3 linked regions of the Cricetulus griseus genome follow. The protein of the gene in region 1 purifies or fractionates together with the protein of each later gene. This does not show direct contact. Links are inferred from orthologs where the notes say so. Each region holds a gene or a part of one and is shown in the gene's direction. Other genes may lie near its edges.

Region 1 (3,650 bases):
CATTCTGTTTTAAACCAAACTTTAGATATCTATAAGCTGAGGGGCTTTTAGGATTTTGTGGTGGTTTGTTGATCTGCTCCCCAGAACACAATGGCTGCTTTTGTTACTCAGCAATTGTACCTTCAGTAAATTCAAGCCCTTTAACCCAGAGTACATGAAGTTGCTTAAGGATCTAATGCTTCCATGTACATTTTCTATAGTTTCACAAGATTATTATTGAAAATTTAGGTCAGATGCTCACAAAAGGCATTAAATATTCTGGATAGTTGTTATTAGCAGCATGTGTACAAATTAGTTCAGATAAATCATGCATTGTCCTACAAACTAGTTATTTCTGGCTTAATGTAATATAGCTCCTGAATTTTTTCCAGCAGCAGCATAATAAAATGGCTAATCAGGTGAATGGTAATGCGGTACAGTTAAAAGAAGAGGAGGAACCCATGGACACTTCCAGTGTAACTCACACAGAGCACTACAAGACACTGATAGAGGCAGGCCTCCCACAGAAGGTGGCAGAGAGACTTGATGAAATATTTCAGACAGGTATAATATGCATTTCTTGTTTCTGACTGGTTATGAAAGTGAGGGCAAACCACGTTGAATTTTATAGATTTTTAAGGTTAAATAATGCTTACTGTTTCTGATCTGTGTAGAGCTGAATATACTTTCCCTTCATTGAGGGCATATTGGGTTTGTCTTGATATTCCTGTTTCATTATTTTGAAGCCTTCTTAGTGTTGAATATGCAGTCTTAGTTGTATCAGAACAGAACATCAATTTGTCTTAGATTTACTACCAATTAAAATGTATGTTTCAGCATACCAAATTTTACATTTTTCCTTAACCTAAATCAGTCATCATTTTGTTTTTTACTTTTCTACTTTTAGCTTTTTAAAAGTGAGTGTTAATTCAGCTTAGGTCTGATTAGGTGGCATAGTAAGAGGAATAGTTAGACTGTATTGTCTGAAATGATAACATATGTCAGACTCCTTGAGAGTTTGTGGCCTGTCTAGTTTCTAATAGACAGAAATAACACATCTCTCCGTAATTTGGAAGTGTTTGGTTTGTAACAGCTGTTTTTTGTTTTTGTTTTTTTTTTTCCTTAATGTGTAAGTCCCATGGTTAAGTGCTTACGAAAATTTGAACATCTTAATATGGTTGGTTGTAAGTGGTGAAGTTTTAAAGAGGGAGAGAAATATTTACCCTTAGGGAATGGTGTTCGTAAATAAATGTGTCCTCCTCTGGGGCCATAGATGGAAACTTTCTTCCTCTGTGTTTGTGTGCCTATCCAGATCAGGAGAGAGAGAGAGAATTGAACTGCTTCCTCTTAGAAATGTGTCTTAAGTACAGTAGACAAATAGCTGTGCTTTTTTTTCCCTTAAAATATTTTAAATCTCACAACTGAGATTTAATTTTAGATACTAAAATGGCTTATAAAAATGACTCCTGGGTGATGGTCCCATTTGAAAACCAGTTCTCAGGAACTTTCTGTGACATTCTATCTGCCCTAGAGAACTGGCAGAGATCTGCTTAGAGACGCTCCCTGTATAGTGTTTTGTTACTGCTAAGAGGCTGATGGTTTGGGTGTAGGGTTGGATTGACAGGATGGATTGATGATTGTCCTGAGTTGTGGCTTTGGGTGGTGGTATGAAATACTCAAGTATAAGGAAACTCCAGTCACTTAGCCATGCTCATTTTGAGCTTTTAAAACATGACATGGCAACTTTTTTTTTTTTTTAACAATAACTTTCCAAGTGGCATTATATTTATTTTCAGTTTATTTGCTGTATGAAATAAAGTTCTTTTTGGCTTTACCAAAATAGAATCACTTTTGGTGTTGGTTCATATGGAATTGGGGAGGGGACTGTTAATCTGTCAAATATTTCTGTTTTACATTGGTCCAATTCTGAAAAGATTCCTTATATAGTAAGTTATTTTAAACATAGATATTCTGTGTGTAGTTAGGTAGACTACATATGTAGAATGCAGCATATATATTCTGCATACTTTATTTAAAAATCTGTAACATTTTTACTGACATTTGAAAGAGATTGTCGTTATTGACAGTGTTGTGAATGCCACAGCATATTTTAAGTCTCAGCTTGTTACTTCAGAAGAGAAAAAGACTGACTTAAAATCTGAAATTCAGAGTTGATTTAGCAAGCTGCACTTGCATTTGTAGAATAATTTAAAATTATGCCCTTCCACATTCTGACTGCAGCAAAGTAGATGCTTGGATAAACACATTTTAATTTATTTTGGGTGCTAAGGAGGGAAAACCTTTGACACTTTTTGGAGTGGAAAGAATTAAGTAAAATTGCTTCTTATATTTTCTCCTACCTCTTCTATAGTAAACAATTGCAACAACCTGTAATTTGAATGTTTATCTTTATCAAATACAGGGTATTTCTTGCCACTCTAATATAAACCAGAATTTAAGTGAATGGTGCATCTTTAGTACAGTGTGTATATCAGACTTTCAGAACTTAACTGCTGTTTGGGGAGTTGGAAACATTTTAGGATCTTAAGTTTTTTTTAAAGTGAAAATTCATGTTTATAGTTGTTGACATTTTATCTTTGATTTTTGTATTTGTATTTGCTATATCTTATTTGTATAACTATGTATATGCATATAAGTAAATGAGAATGTAGTTTGTCAGAGGTAGTATTGAATGTAACAGCTCTTACTATGAGAGTTTAGCCTCTTAGTGCAATAATGTTAACCCTTTTCAATTTGGTTTTTAGGGTTGGTAGCTTATGTCGATCTTGATGAAAGAGCAATTGATGCTCTCAGGGAATTTAATGAAGAAGGAGCTCTGTCTGTGCTACAGCAGTTCAAGGAAAGTGACTTATCTCATGTTCAGGTAAGGTCAGTTCTAGCAAATGCCTCTGAGCAGTGATCTGCAGCTGTTGCACTATGATGGCATTCTTTTCCCTGTGGGGAACTGGTCTTTTTTGCTTGTGACTATCTCTCCTTTGAAAAACTGAAGGGAAAAAGATCTGGGTCAAAGAGTTTCAGAAGCATAAGCACAAAGCGAAAGTCTCCTCCACCTTTTATACAGTAAGTTTCTTCAAAAACTTAAAGCCATGGCTTGATTATTGTTATTGTTAAGGTTTTATATGCTTGAATTGCTTACATTAAAAATATTTTTGGGATCGGGCAGTGGTGGCACATGCCTTTAAGGATCTGAGTTCCAGGACAGTCTGGTTTACAAAGCTACACAGGAGAAACACTTGTCTCAGGAAAAAAAAAAAAGAAGAAAAGAAAGCTAATTTTTTGGTTATTCTATTTTAGTGTGAGAAATACTTTTAGACATCTTGGAAAAATAGTTCAGCTTCAATTAAATATTAACAAATAGAAGAACTTTTTTTTCCTTTCCCCAGTTTGGAAGGTAAGCTCCCTGAGGCACTGTCTGGCCCAACCTCTGGTCCATAGTGACTACTCATCAAACTATTTGTTGAATGAATGGAATGAATATTAAATTTAATTGTGTATTTGACCCTTCAAAGATTACTGGTAATTCTACCTTTTGAATTGCTTGCATGTTTTAGAACAAAAGTGCATTTTTATGTGGAGTTATGAAGACCTACAGGCAGAGAGAGAAACAGGGCAGCAAGGTGCAGGAGTCCACGAAAGGGCCCGATGAGGCG
Region 2 (3,750 bases), on another chromosome or scaffold:
TATCTCTGTGAGTTCGAGACCAGCCTGGTCTACAAGAGCTAGTTCCAGGACAGCCTCCAAAGCCACAAAGAAACCCTGTCTTGAAAAACAAAAAACAAGAAACAAACAAAAAGTGGTATTGTGATAGCAGTATTCCCCCCCCCTCCCCAGGCAAGGTTTCTCAGTGGCTAGTCGCCATATGGGTGCTGGGAACTGAACTTGGGTCCTCTGGGAAGGCAGTCAGTGCTCTTTTTTTTTATTAAGATTTTATTTATTACATATACAACATTCTGCTTCCATGTATATCTACACACCAGAAGAGGACACCAGATCTTACAACGGATGGTTGTGAGCCACCATGTGGTTGCTGGGAATTGAACTCAGGACCTCTGGAAGAGCAGCCAGTGCTCTTAACCTCTGAGCCATCTCTCCAGCCCCCTTGAATTACATATTTGTCCTTTCCCTTACAAAAAGTACACAGGCTTTTAAATGCTCTAAATCATTTCATGTAGTCAAGAAGCATTTTGTAGTTTCATAGATTTAGATTTTAAACATCAGAAGGTCTGACCCTGAACTGCCTTACACTCAGGGCAAGTTCTTAGTCTTGGGTTTTGAATGCACTCATTAAAATCCCAACCCTACTCACAGGCACCTCTGCCTGGATCGGGCCTGGAGATGTACTCAGGGTCACGCACCGGCTAAGCAATCACTCTATCATTAAGCTACATCCCCAGACTTCATTTGCAGCAGACAGATACATTTATTTTCTTTACAAGATGATGATGGGGAAAACCAGGTCGACTGTTAATACTAGAATGCGTTGCTTTAAGGCAAAGAGGATCATGAATTCGAGGTCAGCTGGGCTGTGCTGAGAGGCAAAAAATAAAAAATAAAAAAGGTGGGAAATTGTGGGTTTCGAAACCACTTAAGCGGTAGACATGTTAGTGTTGAACCAGACTAGGCTATGGGATCCAGGCTAAAGCCCATATTCCTTCAGGTCAAACGTCACAATCTACAAACCTTGGTAAGGTCTAAGGAACAGCAAGCTGGGGCACCGCTAAGTGAAAACCGAGAAAAGGGACAGAGACTGATCATGCTTTCAGGAGAGAATGTGGAGAGCCAGAGCGACCACACTGCGTTTGGCTTAGTTGACCGGCCAGGGCAGGCGGAAGCACGCTCTAGCCAGTGAAAGTGGGGCCCAGCCGAGGGGCCCCGTCAGAGGAATTTCGGTTCCCACACCCGGGGACTCCAGGCCTCGACTACAGTTCTGCGTTCAAGCTCAGGGCCCTGGCACCGCCCATAGCGGGAGGCTGGATCGTACCATTATACCTTTGGAGGGGTAGGAGTGCGGCGAAGCCGGGCCCCGGGGGGAGGGCGGATGAGAGCTAATTATCCTCAAGATGACAGTGCATGCGAGGACATCATTTTCAAGTGAGTTCCCTTTTCTTTTGTCTCTCTGGGTCCTCTACTTCCTCGGGAAGGGGCAGGAACCCGGCCGCGCTCCCCCCTCGCGCCGTCCCACTTGGTACGTCCGCGGGGCGCGTAGGCGGGAGGCGTACTTAAAGTCGGCGCGGGAGGCGGGGCTGCTCAGTCCTCGCGGCGTCCCTTCGCAGTCGTCTGGAACCCTGTTGCTTGGCGGCCTGTGCGCGCGTGCGCGGACATGGCTTCAAACGGTATGTGAGGGCGCGAGGCGGCAATGGCGCGTCCCGGGGAGCCTTCGTTCCCTCCCAGCCAGACTTTTGAGTTTTCGGTGGGCCTGTGGTGGCGTGCGAGTGTGGGCTCCCGCACCTCTGTGGCGGGAAGCGGCGGGAGGAGGGCAGGGGAGGGTGGTGTCGCCATTTTGTTTGGCTCCTGTGGCGGCCTTTGGCGCGGAGTCTGAGGGCTCTCTGGGCCCTTCGACTCGGGGAGGGTGTGGAGAGGGACGCTGCCTGGCGACGTGGAGTGAGGGGAGAGGAAGCGCCAGGTCTCTCTAGCGGCGCCCCACCCCCTCCCTCCCGGCCTGCCGGGCCCCGCTTTGTCGCAGTGCTGCATCCGGGCACTTGGCGCGCGCACGCGCTCCTCTGGCCCCTCCCCCTTTCTCGGCGCGGTTTTTCCCCCTCGCCCGCCTCGAGTTGGTTTGGATTTTTTTTTTTTTTTTTTTTTTTTTTTTTTTGTCGCGAGACCCTCGGCGGAAGACTGCTGGTCCGGTGTTGGCCTCGCCCTGCTCCCCGGGTCCCTCGGGAGGGGGCGGGGCTGTCCTGTTCGCGCCTCCGGGCCGGAGCGAAAACGCTCCCAACTGGCCCGCGTGTCCGTGAGGTTGGGGAAAATGACGAACGGACTCAGGGATCCGGCCTGAGGGCTTTCCCGTTTCTGAATTTAGTTTTCCTGAGGCAGGAAGGAAACCAAAGGAGTCGCCTTCCGAGGCCACACCCTCTTGGCTGTCATTTTTTTTTTTTTTTTTTGCCTCCTGCGGGGGCAGACCCTGGGTTTCCTGCTCGAAGCCGAGCTACTGCTTACCGTCTTTGCTTCTCCATGCGCACGATAGGCGGGAGCACACTCGCTGGGAGCCACAGGTCTTGGAGCCTTGAGGCTACTTAGGGTCAAAGAGCTTTGCTGCCTTGTTTGGCTTTGTACTAAAACTCCCCTTTGCCTTAAGGTCTCCGAGGTTAGTCACAAGGTGAATGGATTTTTTTTTTAAAGGCATTTGTTTGGTGTTGGAGGGTCACAATTCTTCAGACTGCTTGGACTCGAACGGTGTGATAGCTCTGTGACTGTACAAGTTAATCTAATGGACTCCATGTGGTGTGTGTTGCAGGCCTTGGAAAGGCCGAGACGAAAATTTTTAAAGTTCAGGGACCGTCTGTGTTGTATTTTGAGACTTTTTGAAGAAAAAAATTGAACCGGGTGTGGGGGCACATACTGCTTTGATCCCAGGAATAGGGAGGCAGAGACGGGGATTTTTTGAGTCTGCATGGTGAGTTCCACATAGCTTGGTCCACATAGTGAGTTCGGGGGCAGTCAGAGGTATGTAATAGAAACTCCTGTCTCAAAAAAATCCAAAAACAAAAATTTTGACTATAAATACAGAAACAGTCCCATGGCAATGTTTTTAGATAATAGTTATCCACAGAAATATTTGTATGGTGCCTTGGACTGGTGTCACTGGTAGCTAGCTTAGCATGGCCCAGGCCCTGGCTTCTACCCAGAACAAAACAGAAATCTAAGACTTATTGGTGTCTAGGAATTTGTGTCTTTGCTTATTGTATTAAAACTTGTATTCAGTTTGCTTTCCTCACAACTGGTGTTTCATGAAGGACTTAATGCCTGCATGTTTTTGCAATGGCATTTTGTAGATTTAATGTGATCTGGAGTGCCTCGTACCTCTTTTTTTAAAGACAGGGTTTCTTTGTGTAGCCTTGGCTGTCCTGGAACTAGCTCTCCTGTATGTAGATCAGGCTGGCCTGGAACTCAGAAATCCACCTACCTCTGCTGGGATTAAGAGTTTGTCTCATCACCACTCTTCTTAGAGTGCCTAGTACTTAAGTTGAATTTAATTCTATTCCAGTCTTAACTAAAATTAACATGACTTTTTCCCCTTCTCATCTTTTACAGACTATACCCAACAAGCAACTCAAAGGTGAGTGTTGTTTCTGGGCTGGAGTTTGTAGGTGGTAAGGGTGGTCAGTGTAACTTGTGTTGTTTTTGTATGCTTTTTTTCTTTCAATTGAAGATAACTTTTCTGATCCTCTCCCCCTCCCCCCTCCTAGCTATGGGGCCTATCCTACCCAGCCT
Region 3 (3,650 bases), on another chromosome or scaffold:
TCTTTCTCCCCCACCTCTTTTTACTCTCTCCCACTGCAACAGTCCCTGAAGGTGAGTCTCTTCCTTCCCCTTTCCCCCTTTTACAATCCTTTTCCCCTAAAAAAAAAAAAACCCTTTCTCTTGGCATATTTCTCTCTGGAGCTCTGCTTTTAAATTACAATACCTGTTGTACTTTTATTTCTGAATACAAGTGTGTCATGTGGAATTTAATTTGCCAATAGCTATTTTACCCAACACTAACAGCATTTTTAGTCTCAGTCACATAGTCATGTGTACCAATTGTTACAAATTTGAAGAATTTTACGATTATTTGTGAATTCAAACACGCCATGTAATCATTTTTGTTTGGGGTCCAATTTGACTTCAGCTCCGCCCTCCCCTATACTCAATCCTTACACATGCCAGCTAGGTACCCTATTGTTGAAGTATAGTCACAACACTGTTAATGTTAAGAACGAGTTTTGGACTTTATTTTAAGCTTACTATCGTAGAGGACAGTGTTCTTTTTTTTTGTCAGGGTCTCACAGTTGTTCAGAAATGGCCTGGAATTCACTCTGTAGACGACACAAGCTTTTAGCATGTGATCCTCCTGGCTCAGCCTACCAAGTAGCTTGAAAGATAAGCCTGGACCACTAGACTTGGCTTATATTTGAACTTTTGGGGGTGTGGGGATTAAAGGTGTGCGCCACCAACGCCCAGCTACATTTGAGCATTATTAATGCACATGTGAAAGAGTCACTGTCCTCTAAGCACACCTTATTTTCTTCCTTATTTTCTGAGATAAGGTCTGTCACTGACTGAGCTTAGAACTCACTAGCTGACTTCTAGGATTCAGTTAATCTCACTTCCAGCATGTCATAATTTTGCTTAGTTCAAGTGGACAGATAATGTTATGTCTTTAAATGGATTGGGAGGTCAGAGAACATAATAAAATTGGTCGTTTATTACGTGTTCTGTCTCTGATAACTACTTTTTCCTATTCAGACAAAAAGTGAAACTCTTTACTGCTCACAACAATATGACCAACTATGCTACTGTATGGGCATCAAAAACAAACCTTGAGCAGAGGAAAGGACGAGCTGGCCGTGTACGACCTGGGTTCTGCTTTCATCTTTGTAGTCGAGCTCGTTTTGACAGGTAAAGTCTCTCTCTCATTTGGGATTGGCCTTATATAGAAGTAAGTGAACAACTTGGAGAAAATTCATTTGGGTTCTTGCTCATTGAGCTGCCTTGATAGTCCAGTGAGATATGTTTTTAAATAAAGATGGGCATTATTCTTAACCTTATATATATTAGCCAGCCTCCGCCCTTACCCTTTCCATTAACTCCATGCCTATGTGTCTTCAGTAAGGTATATTTAAGCTGGAATAATGGGATTATAGTGAGACTGAAAACAAATGAGAAGTTGCCAGTGTTGGTTTATTTAATAAAAGGATTTGTGGACATCAGTTACATTGCTTTTATCAGTTTTTTGCTTTTTTGTTGGTTGTGGGCCGGAGACAGGGTCTCACCCTGAAACTGGCTGGCCTTGAACTTAAAGATGTGCCTGCCTTTACTGTCTGAGTGCTGAGATTAAAGACCTTCTGGTAAAACCACTTACCAATTTTTGATGTTTTCAGTATTGAGTGAGGGTTCTTTCTCTAGTGTGGTAAGTCCTATTTCCTGGTATTTTGTTTTTTGGGTTTTTTTTTGTTTGTTTTGTAAACATTAGGGTTTTAGAGTTATAATCTCATGTGCAATCAGTTGTTTGAGGTTTTTTCAGAGCCCTGGCTCTCCTGGAACTCATTCATTAAACCTGGCTAAACTCAGAGATTCACCTCTCTTTGCCTCCCAATGTTGGGATTGAAGTTGTGTGCCACCACTGCCCAAATCCAATGAGTCTTCATCATGCCATTTTTTTATTAGAAACACTTTAAATTAGAAATGTGGACTTTCTAGTTTTTCGAGCTAGGGTTTCTTTAACATTTTTATTTCTCTATTTATGTATTTAGTATGCTCTTCTGTCTGCGTGTAGTCTGGCAAGCCAGAAGAGAGCATCAGAGTGCTAGGAATTGAACTCAGGAGCTATAGAGAGCAATCAATGCTCTTCACCTGGGTGTTTTTGGTTTTTTTGTTTTGGAGTTTTTTTGTTTGTTTTTATATTGAGTTTACTGTGTAACTTGTCAGATTGGTCTGGTGATGGAGTTACCATGAAATGCATGTAACATGTTTCCAAGACTAAGTTGTGTGGGTTTTTAGTTTAGTTGGTTTTCTTTTTGTTCAGGTCAAGGTTTCTCTGTGTAGCTTTGGAGCCTGGCCTGGAATTCACTGTGTAGTACAGGCTGGCTTGAACTCAGAGAGATCCACCTGACTCTGCCTCCTAAGTGCTGGATTAAAGGCGTTAGCCATCATTGCCCAGCCCAGGGCTAAGTATTTTGGTCGGCCCTGGGAGCCTTTGGGGGTAATATAGACAAAGGATTTGTATTATGTCACCTTTTGTTGCACTTGACACTATTTATGCTTGTCATTGTATGCATAGGTGAGGATTGTTCTCTTTCTGCTTCTCTAAATATTAGACTGGAAACCCACATGACACCAGAGATGTTTAGAACACCATTACATGAAATTGCTTTGAGTATAAAACTTCTGCGCCTGGGAGGAATTGGCCAATTCCTTGCAAAGGCGATTGAACCTCCACCTTTGGATGCTGTAATTGAAGCAGAGCATACTCTTAGAGGTAAGTGCTACCTTAGGCTATCTTTACCTGACAATTCTTATTTTACAAGTATGTCAGATGAAGATAGACTTGGTAGAGCCTTAACTAAAGGCTTCTTAGCTAGTGTCACAATTTTCATGAGCTTGAAGGATGAAGGAATGGAGTATACATACGAGTTTCATTTAGAAAACACAGAATGCTACGTCTCAGGAATCAGTGCACAGATTACTATTTTGAGACAGCGTTTCTCTGTGAAATAGTCCTAGATGTCCTGGTCACTCTGTAGACAAGGCTGGCCTAGATAGAGCTTAGATCTGCCTGTTTCCCAAGTGCTAGAGCATCAAAGGCGTGTGCCACCACCATCCAGCCATAGATTACTCTTAGACCTGTATTTAATATTATAGTGATGTCTTAGAGCTTTGATTTTTTTTTCTTTTTTTAATTAGATGTGTGGGTGCTCAATGCTGATGCTGTTACTGTATTTCTGGTTCCCATTTGCCTAGAACCTAGTTTTATAACAGTCCTTTTGTATTTCATATACCAATATTGAGGTTTTTTGTTGTTGTTGTTTTTTGTTTTTTTGTTTGTTTGTTTGTTTTTGCTTTTTTGAAACAGGGTTTCTCTGTGGCTTTGGAGGCTGTCCTGGTACTAGCTCTTGTAGACCAGGCTGGTCTCGACAGAGATCCACCTGCCTCAGCCTCCCGAGTGCTGGGATTAAAGGCGTATGCCACCAACGCCCAGCAAGTTGTTTGCTTTTAACTGAATTGCTTGCTCTAGGCATTTGACATTAATTTTGACTCTTGCTTTGACACTTGATGGAACATTAACATACTTAATGACATTATCACTCACAAATAAGTATTTTCCCACAGAACTTGATGCTTTAGATGCCAATGATGAGTTGACTCCTCTGGGACGTATTCTGGCTAAACTCCCCATTGAGCCTCGTTTTGGA

Evidence for each region.
Region 2: the proteins of Hnrnpr (region 1) and Fus purify together in Homo sapiens (affinity purification with mass spectrometry; 4 studies listed by BioGRID and IntAct, with this or other methods). This does not show direct contact. The link is inferred for Cricetulus griseus from reciprocal best matches to the Homo sapiens genes HNRNPR and FUS.
Region 3: the proteins of Hnrnpr (region 1) and Dhx9 fractionate together in Homo sapiens (co-fractionation; 3 studies listed by BioGRID and IntAct, with this or other methods). This does not show direct contact. The link is inferred for Cricetulus griseus from reciprocal best matches to the Homo sapiens genes HNRNPR and DHX9.

What each region holds. Positions count from the first base shown.
Region 1 is NC_048595.1:16,986,871-16,990,520, reverse strand, and holds part of Hnrnpr (heterogeneous nuclear ribonucleoprotein R), read left to right. Parts: intron 1-371; exon of another isoform or gene 372-374; 5' UTR 375-386; coding exon 387-543; intron 544-2,744; coding exon 2,745-2,863; intron 2,864-3,551; coding exon 3,552-3,650. UniProt on the Homo sapiens protein: Component of ribonucleosomes, which are complexes of at least 20 other different heterogeneous nuclear ribonucleoproteins (hnRNP). hnRNP play an important role in processing of precursor mRNA in the nucleus.
Region 2 is NC_048596.1:72,807,129-72,810,878, reverse strand, and holds the start of Fus (RNA-binding protein FUS), read left to right. Parts: upstream 1-1,527; 5' UTR 1,528-1,639; coding exon 1,640-1,652; intron 1,653-3,570; coding exon 3,571-3,595; intron 3,596-3,725; coding exon 3,726-3,750. UniProt on the Homo sapiens protein: DNA/RNA-binding protein that plays a role in various cellular processes such as transcription regulation, RNA splicing, RNA transport, DNA repair and damage response. Binds to ssRNA containing the consensus sequence 5'-AGGUAA-3'.
Region 3 is NC_048598.1:38,208,262-38,211,911, forward strand, and holds part of Dhx9 (ATP-dependent RNA helicase A), read left to right. Parts: intron 1-984; coding exon 985-1,137; intron 1,138-2,555; coding exon 2,556-2,716; intron 2,717-3,567; coding exon 3,568-3,650. UniProt on the Homo sapiens protein: Multifunctional ATP-dependent nucleic acid helicase that unwinds DNA and RNA in a 3' to 5' direction and that plays important roles in many processes, such as DNA replication, transcriptional activation, post-transcriptional RNA regulation, mRNA translation and RNA-mediated gene silencing.